Linked DNA regions of Xenopus tropicalis. The protein of the gene in region 6 interacts with the protein of the main gene of each other region in a pairwise test. Links are inferred from orthologs where the notes say so. Each region holds a gene or a part of one and is shown on either strand. Other genes may lie near its edges. The genes, in order: trio, trim9, sybu, kif5a, nup54, exoc1 and ccdc88a.

Region 1 (4,156 bases), on a different chromosome or scaffold from region 6:
TCTTCAGTGCCGGATTTCAAATCCGGACGCCCGCCCCCCACGCATGCGCAAACAAACCCACCTCCCCCTGTGCCACGCCGACGCAATCGCGCATGCACTGGCATTTAAACTCCCATACGGAGCAGTGGGGAGAAGTCCCCATTGCTCCGTATGGGAGCGAAATGTCACAATTTTTTTGCGGCGGGGCGGCATGCCGCCCTAGGCCTGGGCCTTTGTGGCCTCGCTACAAATACAGGCCTGGGTATCTTACTTGTCTCTTATATATTGTCTCTTAATCCAAATACAAATTGGTAATGCTCACCTATAACAACTTGTTACATACATATATTGTCTCTTAGTTGTTGTGCTTTTTGTTCTACCATGAGGCAGTGCAAGCTCATAGTACTCCCTAAATGTTAGCTGCCCAGGTGTCATGAAAATTAAAACGTGCATTACATAAGCAGATCTGGGAAGCAAATATGGAAACTGACGGCTAGGCCTTTTTAATTTAATATATCTTCTGAAGCAGTAACTATTGCCTCAGAAAGCATTGGTCACACTTGAAAAGCAATTGTGAAGACTAAACACACTACAACATTTCTGATTCCTCATTATGACCCTTTGAGGTTTAAAGTGGGCTGCGTAATATAGCCCTCAGCAAATAGGTGCACTGACTCAGATGTTCACCAGGAAATTTACTCTCTCCAAAGTTATGGGATTTTCATAATTTTGGCAAAATTATCAAATTTATTTTAATTTACTCATTCAAGCTAAAACTGCACAAATGCATTTTTTAGCAGTGTAAAATTTTCAAAGAGAGGAGCCTGAAACACAATACACTAATAATCTACTAGCACTAGAGGAAATCCTTTTTTGGCCACAACTCAGACTGCAGAATGGAATTGCTGACCTTGCAACAATAGTAGCTTGCCCTGATTTATGTACTGAAGCAGCAGTGTTGCCTCCTTCTTGTCATTTAGGCAATATATTATTTTGTTTTTCATTTTATGTGACCAGTATAATTAATTCTGTTACTGCATGTTCCAATATCCTACAAACAGCCAGTTTTGATTCTGAAAGTGTGTTATTTTGGTACTTCTGACATATTAGCTGTTTTTCCTTTTGGGAGGCTTACTGCATTAATTAATGAACCAGTGATGTGACATCATATGCAGCACATGCATACTGGCCTGAGACAATCTGGTATTTATTTTACTGAGCAAATCCAATCCCTGTCTTCCTCTTCTCCTCCTATTTCTTCTCTCCGCTCTTTCCTGCAGAAAAAAAAAATGTCCAGCAGTGACTCATCCATTAGCAGCTTGAGCAAAAGAAGCCAGAGGCAGCAGCTTCTCACTACCTTCTTTGCTTGCATTGGTTGCTTGTGATAAAGCATTCGCACGGATTGTTTACCAGCGGATGCCTTCATTTTTCTTAGTATAACAGTGAACCATTTGTAACTAGGCAGCAATTTGGCTACACACTGCCTGTGTTTGTGTATTATCGTGTGTACATTTTATGTGATTATAATTTAGTCCGTGGAGGTTCGGGGAAAATGCAGACTCATCGCTGGAAAGATGACGGAGAAACAACATTAGGTTTGTCTAGGTTTCTGTTTTTGTTTCCCAATACAATACGTAGTTCTTGACTGGGGTATTCAGGTGCATGCAATAAATGCATCTCAGCCATGTAAAAGAGAAAAAGAGTACAGATAGTATAGATAAACAACCATCATGTTATGATTATTGTTTACCTTTCTGCATGTGGTGTCATTCATTAATTGGAGCATATTTGTACATATTAATCAGCCAATGGTGCATTCTCAGGATGAAACATGTCAAACAAATTGATGCTTATATTTATAGTAAAAATTCATGGTCTACCCTGTATAAATACTACTTGTCTGTGTCTACATATTTGGGACAGTGTATGGCAGATATTTGTTTTTCTAACTCATTGCTCTGAAAAGAACTGATATTGCTAGTGTTGTCATGAATATGCTGCAGTCTAGCTGGTTTCTTATTACATTTCCTAGCAGTGCATCTGCATCTCTGACAAATATACAATAAATAAATTAAATAAAAAAAGAAATAAAATACACCACAGTTTTTCTTATGATGAGGTAAGGCAGATGCTGCTGTTGCTGGAGAGGAGTTGACAACCTAAGATACTAGACAAATTGTGGGCTCAAACTGCAAATTCATACCATAAGGATCTGAAAAGGGTTAAGGTCATCCAACATTTGTGGAACTCCTTTAAATACGATATTACATTTGTGGTCATGTTTTTTAAAAGTATATTAAGGTACTTTTCTTTGGGCTATGTGGTTTGCCTACAAATGTACTTGTTTATGTAGCATTTTGGAGATATTGTTACATGTTTGAGATCCCTTATCCGGAAACTTGTTATCCAGAAAGTTCCGAATTACGGAAAGGCCAATTCTCATAGACTCCATTATAAGCAAACAATTCTAATTTTTAAATATGATTTCCTTTTTCTCTGTAATTATAAAACAGCACCTTGTATTTGATTCTGACTAAGATATAATGACTCCTTATTGGAGGCAAAGCAAGCCTATTGGGTTTATTCAATATTAAAATGATTTTAGCAGACGTAAGTTATGGAGATCCAAATTACAGAAAGATCCCTTATCCAAAAAAACCCCAGGTCCTGAACATTTTGGATTACAGGTCCCATACCTGTACTTAGAAAATGAGGCCATAGAATAAAGCTGGCCATACATTGAAACATTTGCTTGTTTTCAAATGAATGGATCTTTCCCTGATAGGCCCAACTTGAGGGGGTGATATGATTGATCCATGATCTGATTGGGCCAAACAGTCGGCTCACATTGATAGGATACAGGCCATTGGGATAAGTCACCAGGCAAGCCATTCATGCAAAGACAGCAGTTTGGATCATTTACAATTTACTTTATATATAACATAGTAACATAGTAAGTTGGGTTGAAAAAAGACATGCGTCCATCACGTTCAGCCATAATGCCTATATATACCTGCCTAACTTCTAGTTGATCTAGAGGAAGGCAAAAAACCCCATCTGAAGCCTCTCTAATGTGCCGCAGAGGGGAAAAAATTCCTTCCTGACTCCAAGATGGCATTTGGACCAGTCCCTGGATCAACTTGTACTAAGAGCTATCTCCCATAACCCTTTATTCCCTCACTTGCTAAAATCCATCCAGCCCCTTCTTAAAGCTATATAATGTATCAGCCAGCACGACTGATTCGGGGAGGGAATTCCAGAACTTCACAGCTCTCACTGTAAAAAATCCTTTCCGAATATTTAAATGGAACCTCCCTTCTTCTAAACGGAGTGGGTGCCCTCGTGTCCGTTGGAAGGACCTACTGGTAAATAAAACATTAGAAAGGTTATTATATGATCTCCTTATATATTTATACATAGTTATCATGTCAACCCAGGTGCCTTGTTTACATTTATCTTGTGTAACCTTTTAAGCACCATATCCTGTGTCAACCACTGTGTAGTTGGATGTGGCATCCTTGCAGCAGGATCTTGACCAACTGGCAATCTGGGCGGCTAAGTGGCAGATGAAATTTAATGTGGATAAATGTAAGGTCATGCACCTGGGATGTAAAAATATGCAAGCCACTTATACCCTTAATGGGACTGCACTAGGTAAATCCATAATGGAGAAGGACCTTGGAGTCCTTGTAGATAATAAACTTGGCTGTAGCAAGCAATGCCAGGCAGCAGCTGCAAGGGCAAACAAGGTTTTGAGCTCTATTAAAAGGGGTATAGATTCACTGGAGGAGGGGGTTATTCTTCCCCTTTACAGAGCACTGGTAAGGCCCCATCTAGAATATGCTGTTCAGTTTTGGTCTCCAGTGCTCAAACGGGACATTCAGTTAGAGAGGGCCCAGAGAAGGGCAACTAAGCTGGTAAAGAAAGACTGGCCAAGCTGGGTCTGTTTACACTGGAGAAGAGGCACTTAAGAGGTGACATGATAACTATGTATAAATATATAAGGGGAACATATACAGGTATAGGACCTGTTATCCAGAATGCTCGGGACCAAGGGTATTCCGGATAAGAGGTCTTTCCGTAATTTGGATCTCCATACCTTAAGTCTACTAAAAAATCAATAAAACATTAATTAAACACAACAGGATTGTTTTGCATCCAATAAGGATTAATTATA
Region 2 (3,500 bases), on a different chromosome or scaffold from region 6:
ACTATTATACAATGCCATGTTTTTTTTTACCGTAAGGGCAGAAGATCCTTCTGTTTTCCTGCCAATTATATAAAATACAATTACCATAAAATAAGATGCAGTTAGGATGTTGAAGCTATATGCCTAAATACTGTGTGAAATTAGATTTCAGATGCCCTTATTCGGAGAGTTCACCTGACTGAGGATCAGTGGGGGAAAGGAACACTCACCCCTAGAATGACCACCGACTTTGATCTAAATCTGGACAGTGCACCACTCTTGCAGTCGATCCATCAACTCGACTTTGTACAGATGAAAGGTAAACTGTCTCATATTGTTCACATGATGAGATACTTATTAATACAGATGTATATGTGCATGATATACTTTTAACCTATTAATTTAATCATGAAAATGTTAGGTTTTTTTTTTAATTCTTGAGCTAAACAGGGCAAGTAGTGGAACGGAAGATACTCCATGTTTGGTCCTTGCCAGTTAGGTTGACTTTATATATCCCTCTTCCTTCTTTCTTTGTTGTGGTTGATTTGTTATCCAGAGTCAGTTATGCAGGGAGATTATCTGTCCTGTGGTAATCCAATTATCTAATATTAAATGACCCAGCAGGATCCTGTGTGGACCAAAACTGCAGCAAATCCCAGTAATTTACAGACAAAGTGTTTCAGTCAAAATTTCAAAGTGTTTCAGTGCAAAATTTTGGAACATGGCTTCTGAGGGGTAGAACACTGAGAGCATCCTAATGGAAGAACCAGTGAGGCTGGGGGTGGAAGGCTAAAAGGTCCATATTTGACCACATTAACATAAAGGAGTAATGTGCATTTCATGATTCTTATTATTGTCTGTTCAAGGGAATGTTATGGGTGTAGCATGAGGAATGTGAATAGCTTCTATAACAATACAGTGTATTTATTGCACAGTGGAAGGGATTTTTTGCTCCATTAGCGTTCCTTAACATAATCTCTTCAGTTCTTCTGCTCAGATGGGACTGAAATCAAGCAGAATCCTGTAAAAAGTTGTAATAATAACATTAAATATTTACAAAGTACCACCTAAGAATGTTTACAATTTACTTGCAAATGTCTTATATGCTTCAGTGAGTAGAGGTGGGTTTCATTACCCACTTAGATATATCAGTGATCTTACATGCTAAACACAATAATACAAAAAATGTTTTTTGCAAAATAGCATATTACAAATATTGTGCCCCTGATAGGGATATGGTACCTGTACTGGGGGCTGCCATAACTATCAAAGTTGCTATCAGAGAACAGCACTAGGCTCTGTGTAGTGGAATCCAACCTATGTAGGTTACTTTGTTAATTTTCTGGCTGTTCTCCTCTCAGTCTATATACGTACATACAAACACACCCACATATAAATATATAAACACACCCACACAAGCAAACATATACATACAAACACACGCAACCTAGGCACTGTACATTCCAGGCTCTAGGGTGCCTATATATGCTGTAAATATTGTCCTGACACACACATCACCGGTCTAAGCTGGCTGGGCCTCCTAGGCAACCTAACTCGTCACCTTAACCCTCCCCGTGTGCTATTAGGAGGGGTAGACATGATGTGGGCGATGGAGGGCAAGGGCCCTAACTAGGGGTAGGCAACAGAAGAGATATGTGTCTTGCACTTCATTCCCCCCCACCATTGCGCCCTAGTCACGTGCCTCTTCTACCTACCCCTAGTTCTGGACCTGCACATACTTTCATACTTTTATATACACACACACACACACATATATATATATATATATATATATATATATATTTATATTAATTTATTTCTTTATAACCAGTATTTCCATTATACTTGTCAAGATATTATAGGCTTTAGTTTAAAATGGGTTTATCTTGGATAGGTTTATAGAATTGATTATGTATGGAAGGCACAGATTTATCAGAGCCCGTGGGAGTCATTTCTTGCTTGTCAAGAGCAGTAAGATCAGATCCGACACTCCAACACAAAATCGTGGGCTGAAAACAGCCACACAATAATTAGATGCCTGAATGGTGCTTATTATCCAGACAGATGCTCAGTAAAAGGCACACTGGATTTAGAATAAACATGAATATTTTGTTTGTAAAATGTATTTAAAGAAACAGATTAGTTGAAAGAAAAATACCTTTACCAAGAATATTAAAGAATTTAAAGCCTCTGTACTCATTGAAACAGGGGCGTTTCTGACCCCTGAGCCCCCCGTGCTTACCTTTACAGTGCCATAGGGGGTCCCGGGAGGCGCATCGCTATTTTAGAGAAGCAGTTTCGCTTTCTGCAGTAGCAGAGCCGAATTTTGGCTCTTAAAGTTACCTGTTAAATTCAGCAGCTTTTTGCCACCCCTAGTAACTCTGGGGGTGCTGTGGCCTGAGCTCGCTTCATGGCAGCAGCACCCCGCTGTAGAAACGGTGTGGGTATCCCCTGAAAAGTTACTTGTACCTATGTGAGATTCATGCTACAGATGTGGGACCCATTATCTGGAAACCCATTACCCAGAAAGTTCCAAATTACGGAAAGGCCATCTTGCACAGACTCCATTATGAGCAAATAATTCAAATTTTTCGAAATTATTTCCTTTTTCTCTGTAATAATTAAACAGTACCTTGTACTGTATCTGATCAAAGATATAATTAATATTTATTGGAGGAAAAACAATCCTATAGTATTTGTTTAATTTTTAGTAGACTTAAGGATGGAGATCCAAATTACAGAAAGATCCCTTATCTGAGCATTCTGGATAACACAGCGCTGCAGAATATGTTGGCGCTTTATAAATGTAAATAATAATAATAATAACAGGTCCCATACATGTACAATGTTACAATATGAGGCATATTTTTAATCTAGCACTAGTTGCACCCCTCAGCGGTATAGATGCATGTGCTCTTTAAGGTGATGGTACAATAATGTACACATTCAACAGATTTTGAACACATGAACACATTCAACAGATTTTAAATCTAGAAAATGAAAATGTCATTCAAAGACATCTGTAGAACCGCTGTGGACTCTGGGGGCCTAGGAAATCTGTTGGAGTCCTTCATATTGCAACTGTATTTATGTCTAAAGGCACAAGTGTAGTCTGATGTGTAATTACCACAAATAATTTTTTGAGCTGAAAACCTTGTTTCTGCTTCCTCCTTTTCAAGCATTTACCTTGCTTGTCTCCTTAAGAGGTTCACTTGGACAAGTAACAGAAAGTGCTGTTGTTTGTCAGTGTTAAATAAAGTAATTTAGCAGGTAACTGCTGTATGTGCAATTCCTTCCTCAGACAAATATTTCCTCTGTCACACTGCCAAACATTGGCCAGCAAATTCTTTCATCTCAGCAAGTTTAGCTCAGGGCAACACTCACTCTTTATTTTGCAGCATCATTTACAAAGTAGCATAATGCTTCCTTGAATCTATACTTTCATGGGGTTTTTATTATTCAGGTATATTTATCAAAATGTTCTACATTAACAGGGAAACAGTGTCACCATTTACCACACT
Region 3 (3,500 bases), on a different chromosome or scaffold from region 6:
CATATTACACCATGCAATAGCGGTTAGAGATCTCTAATATAACTAGTAAGAAGTCTGACCTGCAGCTGGGGGTGCTAGGGCTAAGTCTGTTCAGAGATAACTTACTTGCGTGAGAAAGACGCCTTTTTCCCAGACATTGCCGTCATATGGACTTCTGGTGCAGAAATGCTTCCCGTGCTGCTCGACGAACTGAAATCAGCTTCACTGCCTACAGTATGCAAAGGGAAAGCAAATGTAAGGCAAAAAGCACTCCCAGACTGCTCATGATGTTGCCTACAAAGCAAAGCCAGGGACAGCTCAGCAATGGGGGAGGAGGGACTGCACCATACACACTGCATTATGCAGAGCAGAGTTAATAGAACCGTTTTAACTATATTGCTATGTCCTGTCCCAGGCAGAAAATCTATATCTCAGCTGCACTTACCTTCAATCAGCTAGTTCTCTTGAGAGAATAGAGATAATTAAAGTTAGGGTTGAAATCAGGCATCAGGTGTAGCTGCTAATTTTTTTCCGGCCTCTGAACCAACATTTGTTGAAGAGCCCCACACAACACAGAAACCCCTAATATACCTACTACTGTATTCCTTCAAAAAGTAGGAATAAATACCATTTTTATATGTTGAAATCCAGCTGCAGGGGAGGAGGGACTAAAACATTGATGTTACAAATTGTAACAACTTCTCCACAGCTTACAGACAGCATGCAGGAACTACATAACCCACAATGCATTGCAGTGATATTCCTTTCCTTATTGACATCATGTGTGCAGGGAATTGTGGGATTGGGAGGATGCAGGCTAAGGGCGGGCTGAGGGCATTCAACTACTGTTACATTTTTGAGTCTCAAAGTAGTCAGCCAGATCAGCAGGAGAACAATTAATTGATGTATATAGCAAAGTTTCTTGAAAAAATGTTTTCTTTTCAAAAAGCTCAAGTGTTGTGGATGGAGTTCCCCAAAGATGATTCCCTTATAGCCTTTCAGAGCTGGACTATTGTAGTGGGAAATGGATGAATTCTCTCAATTTGCCCAATTTACCGTTACTGTAGCCATTTTGCTCAGCTATATCAACTATCACTACATTTTCTATATACACTTACAAAAATAAAAATAAAAAAAATAAAATCCTGCGCAATACAGGCTACTTACAATGTAGTAGTAGTAGTATAAAAGCAATGAACATATGAAGTGTCAGCGGTAGCTCAACACGTTTCGCGTGCTCTCTGCACGCTTCCTCAGGAGCAAAGCAAAATAGAATGTTATTTTTATATTAAACTATTTTACACTATATCTGCCTCATCTTCTATCCTATATACATTGTGAAATTGGATCCCTCTTCAATCAATGCCCGGCTGGGATTGACCTACATGCTTCTTTTTAAGATGTTCTGGTGAGCAGTTACAACACCATTATAATATATACAGAGTTGAGGTCACTTTATCTAGTATTGGTGTTTGACTAAGCACTCACGTTCTAGTTTGTTTATAGTTTTTTTGATTCCTTTATCCCATTGATCTGCACCATATTTTTTGTTTTGTTTTGTTTTACTTTTATGCGCTTCCATCAACACTACTGCATACATACTTTGAGGCTCATCTAAAGGGGAGCTGATATCAAGAGGAAGCAGCACGTGATTCACATTGGTTTCTCACTATATTGAAGACTTACACATACGGACCTTTTATCAAGAAGCGCTGGGTTTAGGAGTGTTTATTCACTTCTCAAACACTAGCCTAACTAACATGCTAAATGAAATGTGTAATTCCTACTGATTGTGTATGAGGGAGGCCTAGAGAAGTGGCAGGGGGCTCAACCTAAAGACCACTTAGGGTAAGGTGTGGGATTTGCTCTTCTAATTACTGAAAGTCCGACACTTAGGGGGGCAATTATTAACATTCCTTTTTTTTTTTTTTGCTAAAACTCAATTTTTTTGGGAATGGAGCATAGAAACCACGAAAAAACCCTAATGCAAAACTTTGCCATCCAAAAGCTGTCGAGGCCATGTAGAAGTCAATGGGAACTGCACTGGGCAAAGTCCACAAAGATTAATGGGAAAAAGTAAATCCCACAAAAAAAAAAAATTGTGGTTTTTGTGTTCTTTTCATTTTCATTCTGCATTTTAATTTGTTTGTGATTTTTGAATCTTTTAATAAATGACTAGACATTTGTGGGTTTTAGTGGAGTTTATTTGTTCGGAAGCGCAGAAAAATTCTTATGTAAATGAGGATTTCAATGTTTTCTTATTCGGACTCTTTTTGCATTTTTCTTTTTTTGTGCTTTTTAGAATAGGCCGTTTTATTACTCTGCATTTGTGGTTTTCCATGGTTTCAAAAACCACTAAAATCAGAATGTGTTCCTCCTCAGTTACTATAGAACAAAGGCAATTCCATTTTCCATTGCTAGTATTATTTGCTGGTCTCAGAATCACTGTTAAAGAATGAATATCAAATTTAATTAAAAGGTAACAGGCTACAAAGCTCTGAGCTCTTTGTGCTGCAGAAAATGTAAACAGCGCTTCTCCATTATTCTGCCCAAGATATATTGTTCCCTGCCAACTGGGTTTCATTAAGTTGCTATGGCCTAAAACAAAAGGAGATGATAAATATTTAGGCTGGGCTCCCTGCTGCCCCTTGTAACACTGCTCCCATAGCCCAGGCAGCAAACCATTGCCAACAGATGGAACTGAATATCTGCTTTATCCCCCCTAGTGGAAAGTGGGTTTTTTTCCCCGCCGGTGTAGCCATGGAGACAGAGACTTTAATAACTGCTTGCGCTTACGGGTCAAGTAAGCAAATCTACACAGCTCCATGGCAACAGAACGGAAAGGAAGGCGCAGCCTATCAGCAAGCAGTTTATCTGGGCAGAATGTTAACACTTTACGTTTAGCCTCATATTGAGAAGTTTATTGGGTTGACTTTCGTTTCCATTAGACCAGTGCTGTCCAACTGGCGTGCCCTGTCTGGCTACTTTGATGGCTTACCTTTGTGTAAGTTTAAATGGTATCAGTACTGTGATTAACTGCCCCCTGCATGGTTTACATCTCAGATTCAGGCTGTAAACCCCCTGTATTGTTTAAAAAAGTAATCCCCTGTGTAGTTCGCACCTTTTAATCTCTGCATTGTTTACCCTCTGCAGTGTTCAGGCAGAGTATGGCACACACAGGCAGGGTAGGGCAGGCAGAGTATGGCACACACAGGCAGGGTAGGGCAGGCAGAGTATGGCACACACAGGCAGGGTAGGGCAGGCAGTATGGCACACACAGGCAGGGTAGGGCAGGCAGTATGGCACACACAGGCAGGGTAGGGCAGGCTGAGTATGGCACACACAGGCAGGGTAGGGCAGGCTGAGTATGGCACACACAGGCAGGGTAGGGCAGGCTGAGTATGGCACACACAGGCAGCGTAGGGCAGGCGAAGTATGGCACACACAGGCAGCGTAGGGCAGGCGAAGTATGGCACACACAGGCAGCATAGGGCAGGCTGAGTATGGCACACACAGGCAGG
Region 4 (3,500 bases), on a different chromosome or scaffold from region 6:
GGGAGTCTGTATACTGGGTAACTCGGGGTATACCCGTAAATGGCAGAACCAAGCTGGGAAGCCATGATAACATGAATGCAAGGTTTTAATGAAGACAAAATAGCAGAACAGCAACTGGTGCAAGTTGAAAATATGAACAAATATACAGGCCAGTGACAGGAACAATCGGCAGTCAAAAATGTAGATCAGTAATCAGGCCAGTAGTCGGGACAGGCAGCTGACGGAACAAAACTGAACGGAACAAAACTGGGAAATTTACAAGAACAGAGCTAGGAGGGGCACATGAGTACAGGAACAAGACAGGAAACAAAGAACAAGGCAAGGACTCAGGAACTGGGAACCAGATGGGGGTCTCAGGAACAGGAAAACACGAATCGCAAGAGGGCAAGATCTAGGCTAGAAAGCTTAATGACCAAGCAAGGACAATGGCCAGTGGCAGGCTTATAAAGGGTCTTAATTAAATTATAAGTTACACATTGGGCTAATAAGGTGGGCAGAGGAGGAGGTAGAACGATCAGGACCAGCCATAAGAGCCTCCAGGGGTTCAGTTGGTAAGTACACAGTCTCAGAAATACATGCACAGTGCACATTGCAAAATCCATTGCTCTCCTATATAAATTGATTTCCTTATTAAGGGGATACAGTGACAATGGTAGAAATGTGACTGTTATTTGGTTCATTTACATTTATAAAACTGATGTTTGTTATATTCATACCCACAGGAAATGCTACAGATATCAATGATAACAGGTAAGAAGCACTAATAATGTTTTCTACTTTTTGACTTCATTCCAAAGGTGACAAAGATTACAAATACAATGAAAATGCATTCTTCTGTCACTAAGTATATTTCCCATCATAATGCTCCTTCTTTATATCAAACCTTGAACAGCGTTACCCTTGCTTACTCTACAATAAATCACAGCCTCTTTGTAATGCCAACTGCATTTGAATGTTAACCAAAGACTCTAAAGCAGTTGTACCCAGCACTGAAAATGGAGCACTATTTAAACTTAATCAGGATATGACACAGCGCATCAATAGAAAGATATCTTTCTGTTACTGATACTGAGGTATTGTTTTGTGCTATCAATACGAAATGTAACGGATCATTTTAAACGCCAAGTGCAGCAAGCAATGTGAAATTTTGAGCCCAAACTGTGTTTTTTCCCGTTATTCAGCATTTTTTCACATAATTCCAGTGTCCTTACACCACCAGGGGGAGTTGTCCCTGATGCGATTGTAGCTGATGTATCAAAATTAACTTGCACTTCAATGTTAATTAAACACGCTTTCACTGAAGTCCAGTTGGCGTTATTTCTGGTGTCTGGCGAGAGAGTGCTTTGTGTGGCTGATTCATTAGATACAAGCATGCTGCGCCTGTTGATACAGTGCACTAAGGGAATTCTGGAGCTACCGCCTGGCCTAGAGGTGGCAATAGCTAAAGGGATTTTCTGCGTCAATAGGTGCAACTGTGCTTGATACGGAACAGGAAGCATGAAGGACTGAGAGGCACAAAGGCAACTATACAGAGGTGCAAGGAGCACATTTTAACTTTTAATGAATGGGGATTTATGGGCAACTAACTGGCGGGAAATTTGTGGGACTCCAACTGCGCTTGTGGTCTTAATTGACCCCTATAGTTTCTTTTTTACCCTTCAGTAAATCTAAAAAAAAAAAAAAATCTTTCTGGTGAGCTGGTGTGAACTCTAGTTTAATAAATACACAACATACAACCCTTTTAACGATTTATAGAGATGTGTGCAAAATTGTCCTCTTCACTTTCCTTGAAAAATCAATGACAGCCAGGAAAGTGTTAATATGAAAAGTGGTGTGAATCACTCTGGAATTCCCTGTTGGATATTTAATAAGTCTATCCTGTACAGCTAATATAACAGTATTTCATATAACAGGAAATGTTTTTAAAAATACTATATAATGTAGGATTATTTTGTCACCAATATGGATCCAAAGGACTGTTAATTATAGAGAAAAAAAAATTCTTTTTAAAAATGAGAAGTATTTGCTTAAAATTGAGTCTATAGGAGATGGCCTTCTTGTAATTCAGAGCTTTCTGGATAATGGGTTTTCGGATAAACCCATTTTTGCTTTGAAGTTGTTGCATTATTTCAAAACAATGTTTCTATTTTCACTACAGAAGCGATTTGCCATGTGGCTGTGAAGCTGAGGATCAGTCCAAGTTGTTCCCTCTTCATCAGGAGACAGCAGCCAGCTAATAACGCAGTCATATAAATTCTCATATCATGTGCACTTTCAGGTAATACCTACTTTATAACCCATTTAAATGGTCTGGTCAGTTCACATGTATAGTCATTATTTATGGAATATTGAAGGAAAAGATTTCCTCACTGCTGTCAATATTGCTTTACAGATGGCTAAATGCGGGAAAATATTAGGAGTTATTTGTGAAGCTGAACACAGTGTGCAATCTGCCATTTTTTTGCACTATGCACATTATAATCTTCTGTGTGCACACCACTTAGGAGCTCAGAGACCTGCGGTTCCCCCCATGAATACAGTGCTGGTTGTGTTGTATTGGGGAGGAGCAGGTGGAGTAATTAAGATGTGCATGTTAGTGAGCAGCATGCAGCAAGGATAAGGCTAATGCCAGACGAGGCGTAGGGCAGATATTTTCAGCAAGCGGAAAAACACTTGCCAAAAATTCCGCCCTACACCTCCTACTTGTGCCTGCACCCGAATGAATGAGATACACTCGGGTGCAGGCACATGTAGCTGATATACGCATAAAAACGCGAGACTTTGCATTATCTCGCATTTTCATGCGTATATTGGCTACATGTGCCTGCACCCGAGCGTATCTCATTCATTCGGGTGCAGGCACATGTAGGAGGCGTAGGGCGAAATTTTCAGCAAGCGCTTTTCCGCTTGCCGAAAATATCCACACTACGCCTTGTGTGGCATTAGCCTTAGGTTTGGCTGGGCTTCCTGAAGCTGTGCTTGCGCAGTTTACCCCAGGGCACAAGTGCATACTAATGAGCACTAAGGGGCATGCTCTTGTGATATAGCACTTGCCCAAGGGGTAATGTAAATGTCCCCTGGCTTAGCCACTTCTGACCAACCTGTCAGCTTTGTGGCCCATGTATGTTGGCAAAACCATAACCCCACTGACCATATAGCTCCCCTGTTGAAATCTACATCAGGCCCTGGATGCTGTCCTCTCTGAGTAGGTCAACATAAAGAAAAATCTTCAGCACACCACTTACATACATGTTCTCAGAGGGTGCTTAACTTCCACGGCCGCTCCCAAGCCTTTTCTCCATGTAGCTTTGCAAAGGGAAAGAAGCACACCAGTTGTGTCGGCAATGCCTTTAAATCATTTATTTGCAGAAATGAGCAAAACAGCACAAGCTTTCGGGGGTGACCCCTTCCTCAGGTGCAAGGAAGGGGTCACCCCCGAAAGCTTGTGCTGTTTTGCTCATTTCTGCAAATAAATGATTTAAAGGCATTGCCGACACAAC
Region 5 (3,810 bases), about 41 Mb from region 6:
GTGCAAATATTTGCTCTTTTTTTATTATGCATTTATACAGACATGCTGACAGAAAATTTTGTTCTGGTGTTAAGCCTGTTACGAGAGATATGCAAACAGATACCAGTGCTGTAGACACAACTAACATTTTTTTTATTGTCCCAGGCTTATCCCTGTTCCTATGATTGGCTTCAAAGAGCTGCTGAGAAGACTTGAAGTCCAAGATCAGATGACAAAGCAACACCAGAGCAGACTTGATGTAAGATTTAAGTACAATGTTTTCATTGTCCCCTATATAGACTATGGTTCTCTTATACAGGGAATCTCCTTTTCTTTTGTCTCTAAACTACTAGTACTTAATTCTTTATTGCAACAGTCATTTTGTATTTATATTCTATTATTGTATTTTTCTTAATATATTATTTTAATGAACAGCACTGTGTCTACAAGTAGTGACATATATAAATAAAATACAATAATAATGATACATATATAGGGTAAAATTCAAAGAAAACATTAATGGCCTAAATATCATCCTCAGATTATTTCGGAAGATATTGGAGAACTTCAGAAAAACCAAGCTACAACAATGGCTAAAATTGGCCAATACAAAAGGAAACTAATGGAACTTTCTCACAGGGTACTTCAGGTAATAATGTTTCCCTCAAACTTTTATAGAATTTGCATTCAAGCACTGCCCAGTATTTATTCCCTTGTCAGTTATGCTCAATCTTTGAGTTGTTATATTTACGTAAAAGCTAAAGTGCTACCAATTTTGTATTGTGTTTTTGACTTTTAGGTGCAGAAGCACACATAGTACTTATGCTTAACTTGTTTATGGCATTATTTGGCACTTAGCATTGCTTTGCCATTGCTTGTTAAAAAAAGAAGGGACAGTTCAAGATGCTTTCATGCATTTAAAAACAATTTGTACTGTATGGGATATAAAGGTTAAATTTACAGTGCAGTGTATGTTAAACAGGTTTTAATTAAACAAGAAATACAAAGGAAAAGTGGATTTGCTATCCAAGCAGAGGAAGAGCAATTACGTGTACAGCTTGACACAATCCAGAGTGAACTTAATGCACCAACCCAGTTTAAGGTGAGTAATAAAATGTAATTTCTACCTTTGGTCAAATATGCGTGCTTCTTAGTGTCTTTTTACTAAGGGGGGGGGGGGAATGGCTTAGTTGTTCCTGGACTCCGAGTCAAATGCTTGTATTAAGTTCCTTTATAATGTTCTCAAGGCCTTTGACAAGTCAGTTAATTTTGTTGTCCCTCAGACACCTCCTCTACTGAAGTTGTGGGGCAAGTCACGTAATATCCTTTTGCACCAAACACGCTTGAAAGCTGTACAGAGTAAGCAGTTGATTTTGGTGAAAATAAGTAATGTTGAGTATTACTCAACATTCATTTTATGTATGTTGTTTGGGTTTATGTAAAAAAAAAACCACCTTGCCTTTATGTGTGCTCTGTAATTATTTAAAATCCAATGACAGTATGAGTCAACTTATTTTGAGACACCAATGTCAGATTTACAACTGAACAAAAGTATTTTTATGTGCCTCATTGCTGGCTCTGCATACTGCACACACATTTAAAATATGATTTTGCAGCCACCATAATGTTAGATACTGTTTTGTGGATTATTCAAGTGATGTGCAGGTGTTTTGTTACTATGTGCATATCTAGAATTTATTTTTACACATTTTAAATGTGTTCCTTCGTGCCCTCAAAGAGCTGCAAGTTTGACATCAACTGTTTATTTCCTCCAGCTATATAGCAGTCTCTACATATAAAACAGAAGCAGCAACTAAAACAATGGTTTAATTTAAAAACTTTGTCATTCTAGGTCACAGCAAATGAGACAAGAATCAACTAACTAACAGTTGCTTTTTCCTGTGTTGTGTATCATAAATATATTGATTGACAAAATTACTTTTTAACCTTGTTTTTAGGGTAGACTCAATGAACTCATGTCACAAATAAGAATGCAGAATCACTTTGGAGCTGTACGGTCTGAAGAAAAATATTATGTTGATGCAGATCTTTTGAGAGAGATCAAACAGGTAAATTATTTGCATTTTAATAGCTGTCTTTAATTATTTATTTGAACTGTTTGTGGGGAAAAGAAGTGCAGATTTCTGGGTTGCACTTATGTGCTGCAAGATACCCACTTTTTCTACTTTAGCTTGTCTGGTTCTAGTCCCTGCCAGGAGTACATGCACATTAAAGGATCAGCATATATGAATGTGTTATAACAGACAGGGTGGTGTACTATGTGCTTGCTATGCCCCTTTGCTGTATGCCCTGTTATAGGCCATTTCCAAACATTTTTAATCAAACTGGTAATTAGTTTATTTCTGCACAACTAGTAAATGAGACTAATTCAGTTGCTGATTATTTAAGGTTTTTGTATTCATAGGCCAACCTATAGGCCAAATATTCTAATCTATGCACTGCAAGTTATGCCCCAGGCATGGCTGAAAAACATTTTAAACCATATTATTTCTGACTTCTACTTCTTTACGCCTAAATTTACTGCAGTCATGTGGTAATGCAATAAAAGGTCCAAAGTTTGTCTAGCTTGAATATTCCAAAGCAGTAATCCTTATTGAGATTTATTTTACATATCTCAGAACAGCCAAATATTATAATGCTTTGTCTCAATCACTGTTCATTATATAAACATTCAAAACAGAGGCCAGGGATAATCCCAAAGTCTAAAAAGACAGAGAAATTCACAGAGGCTCTCTAGTGGCCAAAATAGATAATTAAAATAATAATGCAAATATACTCATTCACAACTTAAAGTTGAAACATCTTTTTTATTAGAAATACATATGTATTTCTTTAAAAGAGAATCTCACATTTAAAATAGATCCCAATGTGGAATGACATTCATAATTGTGCTGCTTTGCATTCTGTATCCTTAATGTACACAATTGTGATTTAAACTCTTCTCCTTTTCCCAGCATCTAAAACAACAACAAGAAGGTTTGAGCCATTTGATCGGCATTATCAAAGACAACCTTGAGGATATAAAACTAATCGAACAAGGACTCAATGATAGTCTTCACATGAGAACTGGACTCTTAAGCTGACAAGACACACAAACTCTTACATGTTAAGCGCTGGCAACTTCAATTCAACATTTTTCAATTCAACATCAGGAACAAGCTTCTGCAAGGTTGTAGTTCCTCTGTTAGCAATAAAGTAGTTATCGTATCTACCACCATATCCTTTTGAGAGGAACATCTCATTAAAATAATATTAGAAAATTTAAATGTCTTTTATATTGCTCTTACCAGATTAAAATATTTTTAGAGGCTATTTTTTTTTTTTGCTTTCTGAAAGGGGCACCTATCAAGTACTAGTGTACCCCTGTTACCATTGCCCTTAAGCACTGTAGCTTAATAAAAGCTGACCATACACATTGAAATTTCATTTTGATGTGTCCAATTAGGCCACCAATGCTCTGGTCACTGAGGCTATGGTTGGATTAGCCCAATTTGGCCTAAAGTTCGATTCCTACTGCAGGTAGATGTGAACCACAGAAATGCACATGTGGTCCTCATCTTATGGGATTATCAGATGTGCCCAATAAATACCTGCCTGATTTTTAGGCACCCATAATTGGGCCAAAAAGATGGTGTCTCGGTAAGGAGCGGCCAAATCAGCAGCTTATATTGGCCGTGTATGGCCAAATTAGGTTTGATACATTTAAAGTTAAACAAGAGTGCCACTTCATGTAATCCTACATGCTATTGTCCCTAAAGAACATTGAAAACAGCAATATAAACATTCCTAATTTTCTTGTAAGTTTGGCTA
Region 6 (3,500 bases):
ATGCACTTTCAAATGACTAGAAAATACCATCCACTACCTAGCATTTCACAAAGCTACAGGGTCACAGAAGGAAAAGTATCTCAGATACAATCTCAGATACACTGACAGTCCACACCAACCAGGTTACCAAGCAAGGTGATAATAAGATAGGAATATATAATGATACAGTGGCAAGGATAGAGAAGGTGGGGCACAGAACTTCTTAAGAATAACGGTTCCACACTTAGCATGAAAATAAATTTTACATCCCCCAGTTATTTAGGCTTCCTTGTTCTTTTAAATGGTTCCATCGTAACAAGATTAAAGGCATGTAGATAATTTCATAAGGCAAGACAAGTGAGAATCAGAATACATTGCCCATCATAAGGAAAAATTATGTGAAATTATATGAGAAGCAGATTTACAAGGCAATTCAGTATGTATTATCTGTATTCTGGCAAAAGATTAGAATGGTAAAACCCTGTTTCCAGGTTCATGTCAATCATATGGACAATTAAATGGGAAAAGTCAGAACATACTCTGACTGTGCTCCGGTGTTTTGGGTTCGAGAGGAAACTCCTCCATCTGACTCGTCTGTTTCGCCCTTGAAAAGACAATGGAATTAGTACAAGAAGGAAGAACTGAAACACACTGCTTAGTTATGCTTTCATAGTCAATAAAACAGAAATCCATGAGCTACAGACTAAAATACATTGGCTAATTGCACATCCAACTGTCAATGATAAGACTACTGGTAGCCCAGGGCCAAGAGTATTACAAGTTACGGAATAACAATGGGACTAATATCCATAATCAGTCTTAGCACTGGGCACATTATATGTTACAGTTAAAGGAACAGTAACACCAAAAAATGAAAGTGTATAAAAGTAACTAAAATATAATGTGCTGCTGCCCTGCACTGGTAAAAGTTGTGTGTTTACTTCAGAAAGTCTACTATAATTTATATAAATAAGCTGCTATGTAGCCATGGAGGCAGCCATTCAAAGGAGAAAAGGCACAGGCACTTAGCAGATAACAGATAAAACACTATTGTATTCTACAGAACTTATCTGTTATCTGCTTTGTAACCTGTGCCTTTTCTCCTTTTTTCCAGCTTGAATGGCTGCCCCCGGGGCTACACAGCAGCTTATTTATATAAACTATAGTAGTGTTACTGTAGCAAACACACCAGTTTTAACAGTGCAGGGCAACAGTGCATTATATTTTTATTACTTTAAAGCTCTTTCATTTTTTAGTGTTACTGTTCCTTTAATAAGCAGTACTAAAAATCTGACATTGAGGTAGTGCTGGGTGGGGTTGAACCTAAACCTAAACCTCCCTGAAGACAATTATAGGACAGGTTTTTAACAACCATAGCATTGGGTAAACTTGATGTATAGGAGATTTATTTAGCTATATAAAGGAGTGGGGGATTAGGATTTTTCTGTTTCTTAACTGATAAATTAATTACTGCACCATTGTTATATTGTTTACAGTACAATATAACTAACACATTACAGAAATGCAAAGCATTTGTTTCATGATGTCCATGTGGCATTTTTTAAAACACATTATTGAACCCAAGACCCAGCTCCTTGGAGCAGGCTTGCTCTGATTTCGTTTTCATGCTGTTACAGATAATAACACTGCCCCCAGAACCATATTAGGGGAGGCAAGGTCAGAACTAGCAGTAGAGTGGCACTGGAGTGCCTATTACTGATCCATTAAAAATATAAGTGAGACAGACTTTAAGAAAACCGCAACAGATAAATGAAATAAATTATTTATGCCTTCATAAATTACATTTACTAATCTTCCCTCTATGCTTTTTAACAACATTCCTTAAGAATTTTGTGGTTTACTTATCCGAGAAGGCTAACATCATAAGCTTGTTAAGTCAAACCATGCTGTTTCTGTCTGACCTTTTAAAGGAAATACTGCTTATGATTGCTGGCCATCACACAGGGCACTGAATATGTCCTCACCATTTTATTCTAGTGTGCATGATTATCGATATCGGGCTAATCAAATTACAATGAGAGGCATAGGTGCCGTCTGATCGGGGACTGCATCAATGAGCCGATGCAGCCCCAATCCTAAGCAAAATCAAACCTGATAAATATTGGCCCGTCGGGGGTGCCCATACATGGGCAGATAAGCTGCTAATTCGGTCTGTAGGACCAGAATCGGCAGCTGAAATCTGCCCTTTTATGGGCACCCTTAGATCTGATGGATGGGCAGCACCCACAGAACAATGCATTTAAAGATTTCTAGAGAAGAGAGTACTGCTTGTCATGTAGGATTAGTGGGAACACCTATTTGCGCATGCAGAAAAGTAAGGTGAAGGCAATATAGATTACGCTGGCAGGCAGGGCCAGTCAGTGCTGCCATGGGCCCCTCCCGCTGCTGCCAGGCTGCTCACCCTGCCCACATGACCACTGCCATCTGCACTAACCCACCTCAAGAGCCAACTGGCTCCAAGACAACTTGGTGGGAGACTCAAACGGTTGTCAAATCCTTCCACCCAGGCCCAGGCCTTTGTTACCTTTACATATAAACAGGCCTGCTGGCAGAACAAAGATGGTGGCTGCGAGTTCCTCTGAGGACATCATTTATTGTGAGAGAGTAAAAGTAAAATCTTGTTTGGAAAGAACAATGTGGCAATTCAAAAGGGTTGATGTTATGCTACTTTCTTTGTCCATTAAAGGGACTTTACAATTACAAATTAAAGGGAATTTACAATTACAATTTTATCATAACGTAGTGCAATTTTTTAGTTTATACTTTAAATGTGTCCTGATTGGGCAAAGACTAAAACTGCCTATATACAATGAGATTCCCTACTTTGGCAAAGATCAGATTGTACAGCGAGCCTATGGAGACTCATTGGACTAAATTTTAAAACTTGCTGAGAGATATCTCACAGATTTTTGACTAGATACCAGGCCCTCCTGAAAGCCCCATACACAGGCTAATGAGATGCCAACTCCATCTGGAGGGATAATCTCAGCAGCTATTATTAGCACATGTATGGCCACCTTACCTTAAAGAGAATTGAAAAAATAACGCAAGATTGTTGCACTCCATATAATTTTACTAAAAGTCCCAAAGTTTGCACAAGGTTCTCTAACCATAGCGACCAATAAGATATTTGCCAGTAGATACCACATACTGATTGGTTAGTATGGATAACAAGACCTGGTGCAAACTATGGGACTTATAAAATCGCCTCTTTATGTAAAATTATTTAAATATCATTTAAAAAAAAAAAAAAAAATCCTGCCCTCCACATGCATAGACCCTAGGGGAAAGAGGGTCATGAGTCTAGTTTAAAATAGATTGCTGTAAAAACCTGCAGGTTAAATAGAATAGTAAAGCAAATAAATAAATGCAGGGTGTGCCTTACCATTGGAGTTCTAGACATATTCTGGTGCTGAGAAAGGTTAAAGAATTTACTGATGAAGTCTTGTTCTGCCAGACATAGTGGCTCCAGTTCACTTAATACCTGTTCAAAGATCTGA
Region 7 (4,163 bases), on a different chromosome or scaffold from region 6:
CTTCTCACAATCAACTGTCTCAGCGCCTTCTTGCTGACTTAACCCTTCATATTCCAAGGCTTTCTCCCGCAGGCACCCCAACCCCAAGATTGGCTAAAAGTCAATACAGTGCCCCAGGAGGGTTTCCCAAGCAAGTCACTATTCTGCATTGTTGGTGCTGCGTTGCCATAGTAACTGTCATCCCAATAATTATTCAGTTGACTTCACGATGGCAGCTAAACACAAACAGTATCACTGCTCCGTCTGTATTCTGATGCAAAACCTGCACCTTCCGCAAGGTTTTGTTTTTTTACCCAAATGCCAACCAGGTTCTAGACATTATAATGTGCCAAAATACCTTATTGCACCATGTATAATAGTAGGGTATATATTAAATGAGAGATACGCAGCCTTGCATTTTGTATAAAGCCACCAGATATGCCCAACCTTGCCCCTTTGGAACAGGACCTGTGCTAAAATCACATTCAGTATAAACAATTATCCATTCATTTAGATGCACTGATTGCTTTGCAGCCTTGCCCCATTCAATTGCAACTCATAGAATGCCAGGAAGATTGTGGGAACTTTAGGGCTATAGCTTAGAGAACTCTTTTTTTTATGTTATATCATCCAAAGCTGACACAGGGCCCCCATCCCGCCCTGCACCAATGTCTAATTAGCTTGTTCAGATGCAGGCTGCAGCGATTTCTGGATGAAAATTCATTGGTAATTAGTCTTTCAGCACGTGGATGTCCAGTTTTAAAGAGGATCGGAATTAAGCCAATGTCCGGCTATTGTTCAGATGCTGAGATGTGTACTTCAGCAACAGCTGGTGGCTAAAAGAAACCAAAATATCCCCACTTGTGCAGGGATTGTGTTTCTCGCCTGGAGGATCCATAAGGCTTACAGCTGACCCTGCTGTCCCCTGTCTGTGGATCCTATGGCATAACTCAGTGAAATATAAACACTCCCTTATAAGCAGCACCACCCTCATAGCCCACCAGCCCAGAAAATATCCTTACTAAGTGCAGAGAACACTGTAGTCATTTTAAGATTTTAACAATATTAGGGACGTCTAAACCGATAACCAGAGGTCCATAGTTAGATCTGGGAGTTGTAGTTTAACAATAGCTGGAGGAATTTAGATTGTTAATCCATGATTTATTGTAGTGGAGCTTTGCCCTCCCTGTATTGCCCTTGACCCCAGTTCTTCCCTGACCCATAGAGAACTAGGTGCATGGTGTGGGGTTCTGCCCTGGCCAGGGGGAGGAAGGGTTAATGAGCAGAGGGTAATACCTAGCCAGGCAGAGGTGCAGGCCTGATTATTCTGGGGGAGGGGGGATATAACAGTATAGAGCTGTTCTCTGCTTAGGCATCACTCCCCCCTCCCCTCCTTACAGATGCTCCTATGAGAGTGGGGGGCAGTGTAGTGAAAATCAGACTGCTGCTTATTCTTCTGCAACATAAAGGAATTTCTGTGAACTGTCTACAGAGAAACCCTAAGCAATAATAAGGGGGGGGGGTATTATCACATTTCCCTTCCAAACCCAAATGTTGGGGGCAGCAGCAGCAGCAGCATTATAACGGTTAGTGCTGGGGGAGCGGCTGCACAGTCACTATAGGGCTGATGGATGGGCGAATGGGGGGCAGTGCCAGTCACTGGGGGTAACAGATCTGCAGAAGATCAGGGGCAGACATGTGCCAGCAATAACCATCCCTAACAGGAAGAAGGGAGGGGTTGGGGGATGCTGGGCTTTTCAAATAATAATATGTAGATCCAATAGGAAGTGTTCCCCCCTGTGCGAAGCAGGAGCGGACGGGGGCCCATTAGTAGGCGCATAGGGCAGCAGAAGCTAAAGGCTAGGCGCACGGTCGCCAGTCGCAGACGAGGGCAGCACACTGCGACTTTTCCCCTTTCACCCCCCCCCCCCCTTTCTGTGCGATGTGCAGAAGCCCAGAGCCTCTCTCCTCCCCTCCTGTTCCTTCATTCCCTCCCCCTTTCCCAGTCTCCAGATGATGCCTCTCCCTTGTGCAGCCCGCAGCCCCTGAGCCCCGCAGCCCGCACCTCTGCAGCGCCGGGAGGGAGGGGGCCCGCTGGCCGCTCGGCAGCACAATGTCTCCCGTTTATTAAGGGGATTTGGTACCGGCGGAACATTTCTCCAACCGTTTCCATTTTGGGGGGATTGCTACGTTTCATTTAGGATTTTTCCTTTTCAAATGGCTCGGCGACCCCGGGACCAGCGGAGACATCTATCGCATTAGGAATATCTGCCTCTGGTTTTTTTTATTAAATCGCTGGATTATCGTCATTATTTTTATTTAGCTGTAGAAAATGGAGAACGAAATTTTTGCTCCGATCTTGGAAAATTTTATGTCCAGCCCTTTGGTGATATGGGTAAGCGTCCGTATTCTGCGCGTCTCTCCTGCAGCTTGTCGCAGCGTGGTGCTATCAGCCCCCTGGCACATCCCTATACATTAACCCTCTCTCTCCCTGAGCTTAGTGCCACCATCAGCCCCCTGGCACATCCCTATACATTAACCCTCTCTCCCTGCAGCGTGGTGCCACCATCAGCCCCCTGGCACATCCCTATACATTAACCCTCTCTCTCCCTGCAGCGTGGTGCCACCATCAGCCCCCTGGCACATCCCTATACATTAACCCTCTCTCTCCCTGCAGCGTGGTGCCACCATCAGCCCCCTGGCACATCCCTATACACTAACCCTCTCTCTCCCTGCAGCGTGGTGCCACCATCAGCCCCCTGGCACATCCCTATACATTAACCCTCTCTCCCTGCAGCGTGGTGCCACCAGCAGCCTCCCTGGCACATCCCTATACATTAACCCTCTCTCTCCCTGCAGCGTGGTGCCACCATCAGCCCCCTGGCACATCCCTATACATTAACCCTCTCTCCCTGCAGCGTGGTGCCCCCATCAGCCCCCTGGCACATCCCTATACATTAACCCTCTCTCTCCCTGCAGCGTGGTGCCACCATCAGCATCCCTGGCACATCCCTATACATTAACCCTCTCTCTCCCTGCAGCGTGGTGCCACCATCAGCCTCCCTGGCACATCCCTATACATAAACCCTCTCTCTCCCTGCAGCGTGGTGCCACCATCAGCCCCCTGGCACATCCCTATAGATTAACCCTCTCTCTCCCTGCAGATCAAGACCTTTGGCACCTTGCTCAGAGGGACTGGCACCCTGCTGGACGAATATGTGGCGTTAATAGACGGTGTGTTTCTGAATGAAGTCATGTTTCAGATGTAAGTCCAATCACAATCATAAAAAAGCAAAAATCTGTATAATGGTATCCCTGGTGCTAATTTATATATGCATTTAGATCATGTCGAGATTATATGGTGTATAAGGACTACAGACATATATGATAAAGATTCCTGCCACTGCAGACAGTATCAGAGCAACAAGCAGAGTTAATTAACTAAGCATAATTAGCTGACAGTCAATGAAGAATTGTGCTTTCTAGCATGACGTCTGTATAACCCAAATCAGTTATCCAATTATAGGGTGGGGGATCTTTATTGCCCTTAGATTTCTATGACCTGGTAATAAATATCTCCTGCTTTGGTACATGTTACCCTTTTGCCCGCTGCACTGTGATGCAGAACCAGGGACTGGCACATCTTAGCCTATGTATGTTTGTGTGGGGGGGTTCCCCTCCTCCTCAGTGAGTCTAACAGGGCTTGCAATCCTTGATTGACATTGACACCTATGTACAGTGACAGGAATCTGATCTGTGAATTCCAATGACCCATTTTATCGAAGCGACGAGCCTGTCCTTAATCTCAGAAAATGTATTGCTTTAGACTACTATAAGTTCATCGGCTTAGTCTAATGTAACGGATAAGCATCTCCAGCAGGGAAGGCCTTTCAGTATTTGGAGGAAGTAAAAGCTATGTGGGTGTCTTAAGAAAAATCTGTAGCTTAGAAGACATTGAGCCATGTGCAGGGGCTGCAGGCCAAGATAAGGAAGTGGCTCACATCCAGGCAGTGACGTCACAACGAGCCACAGGCTGGGAGAGCTGGCCTTCATGTGTTGCTCACTTACCAATATGTGCTGTTGGCCCATATTTCTAGGACAAATGCAGGATGTATATCGCACACATGCTATTAGCATAAATGCTTTTTAATTTATGAGATAATTGATTTTTGCTGTGGGTGTCT

What was found.
Region 1: the proteins of exoc1 (region 6) and trio interact in a two-hybrid assay, tested with the Homo sapiens proteins (2 studies listed by BioGRID and IntAct). The link is inferred for Xenopus tropicalis from reciprocal best matches to the Homo sapiens genes EXOC1 and TRIO.
Region 2: the proteins of exoc1 (region 6) and trim9 interact in a two-hybrid assay, tested with the Homo sapiens proteins (2 studies listed by BioGRID and IntAct). The link is inferred for Xenopus tropicalis from reciprocal best matches to the Homo sapiens genes EXOC1 and TRIM9.
Region 3: the proteins of exoc1 (region 6) and sybu interact in a two-hybrid assay, tested with the Homo sapiens proteins (2 studies listed by BioGRID and IntAct). The link is inferred for Xenopus tropicalis from reciprocal best matches to the Homo sapiens genes EXOC1 and SYBU.
Region 4: the proteins of exoc1 (region 6) and kif5a interact in a two-hybrid assay, tested with the Homo sapiens proteins (2 studies listed by BioGRID and IntAct). The link is inferred for Xenopus tropicalis from reciprocal best matches to the Homo sapiens genes EXOC1 and KIF5A.
Region 5: the proteins of exoc1 (region 6) and nup54 interact in binary tests that used the Homo sapiens proteins (3 or more experiments, as listed by UniProt). The link is inferred for Xenopus tropicalis from reciprocal best matches to the Homo sapiens genes EXOC1 and NUP54.
Region 7: the proteins of exoc1 (region 6) and ccdc88a interact in a two-hybrid assay, tested with the Homo sapiens proteins (2 studies listed by BioGRID and IntAct). The link is inferred for Xenopus tropicalis from reciprocal best matches to the Homo sapiens genes EXOC1 and CCDC88A.

The regions. Positions count from the first base shown.
Region 1 is NC_030682.2:71,189,035-71,193,190, forward strand, and holds the start of trio (triple functional domain protein), read left to right. Parts: upstream 1-1,356; 5' UTR 1,357-1,531; coding exon 1,532-1,574; intron 1,575-4,156. UniProt on the Homo sapiens protein: Guanine nucleotide exchange factor (GEF) for RHOA and RAC1 GTPases. Involved in coordinating actin remodeling, which is necessary for cell migration and growth. Plays a key role in the regulation of neurite outgrowth and lamellipodia formation.
Region 2 is NC_030684.2:96,135,436-96,138,935, forward strand, and holds part of trim9 (E3 ubiquitin-protein ligase TRIM9), read left to right. Parts: intron 1-144; coding exon 145-298; intron 299-3,500. UniProt on the Homo sapiens protein: E3 ubiquitin-protein ligase which ubiquitinates itself in cooperation with an E2 enzyme UBE2D2/UBC4 and serves as a targeting signal for proteasomal degradation.
Region 3 is NC_030682.2:134,354,344-134,357,843, forward strand, and holds part of sybu (syntabulin), read right to left. Parts: intron 209-3,500; coding exon 106-208; intron 1-105. UniProt on the Homo sapiens protein: Part of a kinesin motor-adapter complex that is critical for the anterograde axonal transport of active zone components and contributes to activity-dependent presynaptic assembly during neuronal development.
Region 4 is NC_030678.2:140,743,357-140,746,856, forward strand, and holds part of kif5a (kinesin heavy chain), read left to right. Parts: intron 1-722; coding exon 723-750; intron 751-2,158; coding exon 2,159-2,237; 3' UTR 2,238-2,278; intron 2,279-3,500. UniProt on the Homo sapiens protein: Microtubule-dependent motor required for slow axonal transport of neurofilament proteins (NFH, NFM and NFL). Can induce formation of neurite-like membrane protrusions in non-neuronal cells in a ZFYVE27-dependent manner.
Region 5 is NC_030677.2:81,656,434-81,660,243, reverse strand, and holds the end of nup54 (nucleoporin p54), read left to right. Parts: intron 1-144; coding exon 145-238; intron 239-520; coding exon 521-628; intron 629-961; coding exon 962-1,081; intron 1,082-1,937; coding exon 1,938-2,048; intron 2,049-2,954; coding exon 2,955-3,083; 3' UTR 3,084-3,310; downstream 3,311-3,810. UniProt on the Homo sapiens protein: Component of the nuclear pore complex, a complex required for the trafficking across the nuclear membrane.
Region 6 is NC_030677.2:40,673,869-40,677,368, reverse strand, and holds part of exoc1 (exocyst complex component 1), read right to left. Parts: intron 3,497-3,500; coding exon 3,386-3,496; intron 584-3,385; coding exon 519-583; intron 1-518.
Region 7 is NC_030681.2:24,456,901-24,461,063, reverse strand, and holds the start of ccdc88a (girdin), read left to right. Parts: upstream 1-1,363; 5' UTR 1,364-2,311; coding exon 2,312-2,374; intron 2,375-3,143; coding exon 3,144-3,244; intron 3,245-4,163. UniProt on the Homo sapiens protein: Bifunctional modulator of guanine nucleotide-binding proteins (G proteins). Acts as a non-receptor guanine nucleotide exchange factor which binds to and activates guanine nucleotide-binding protein G(i) alpha subunits.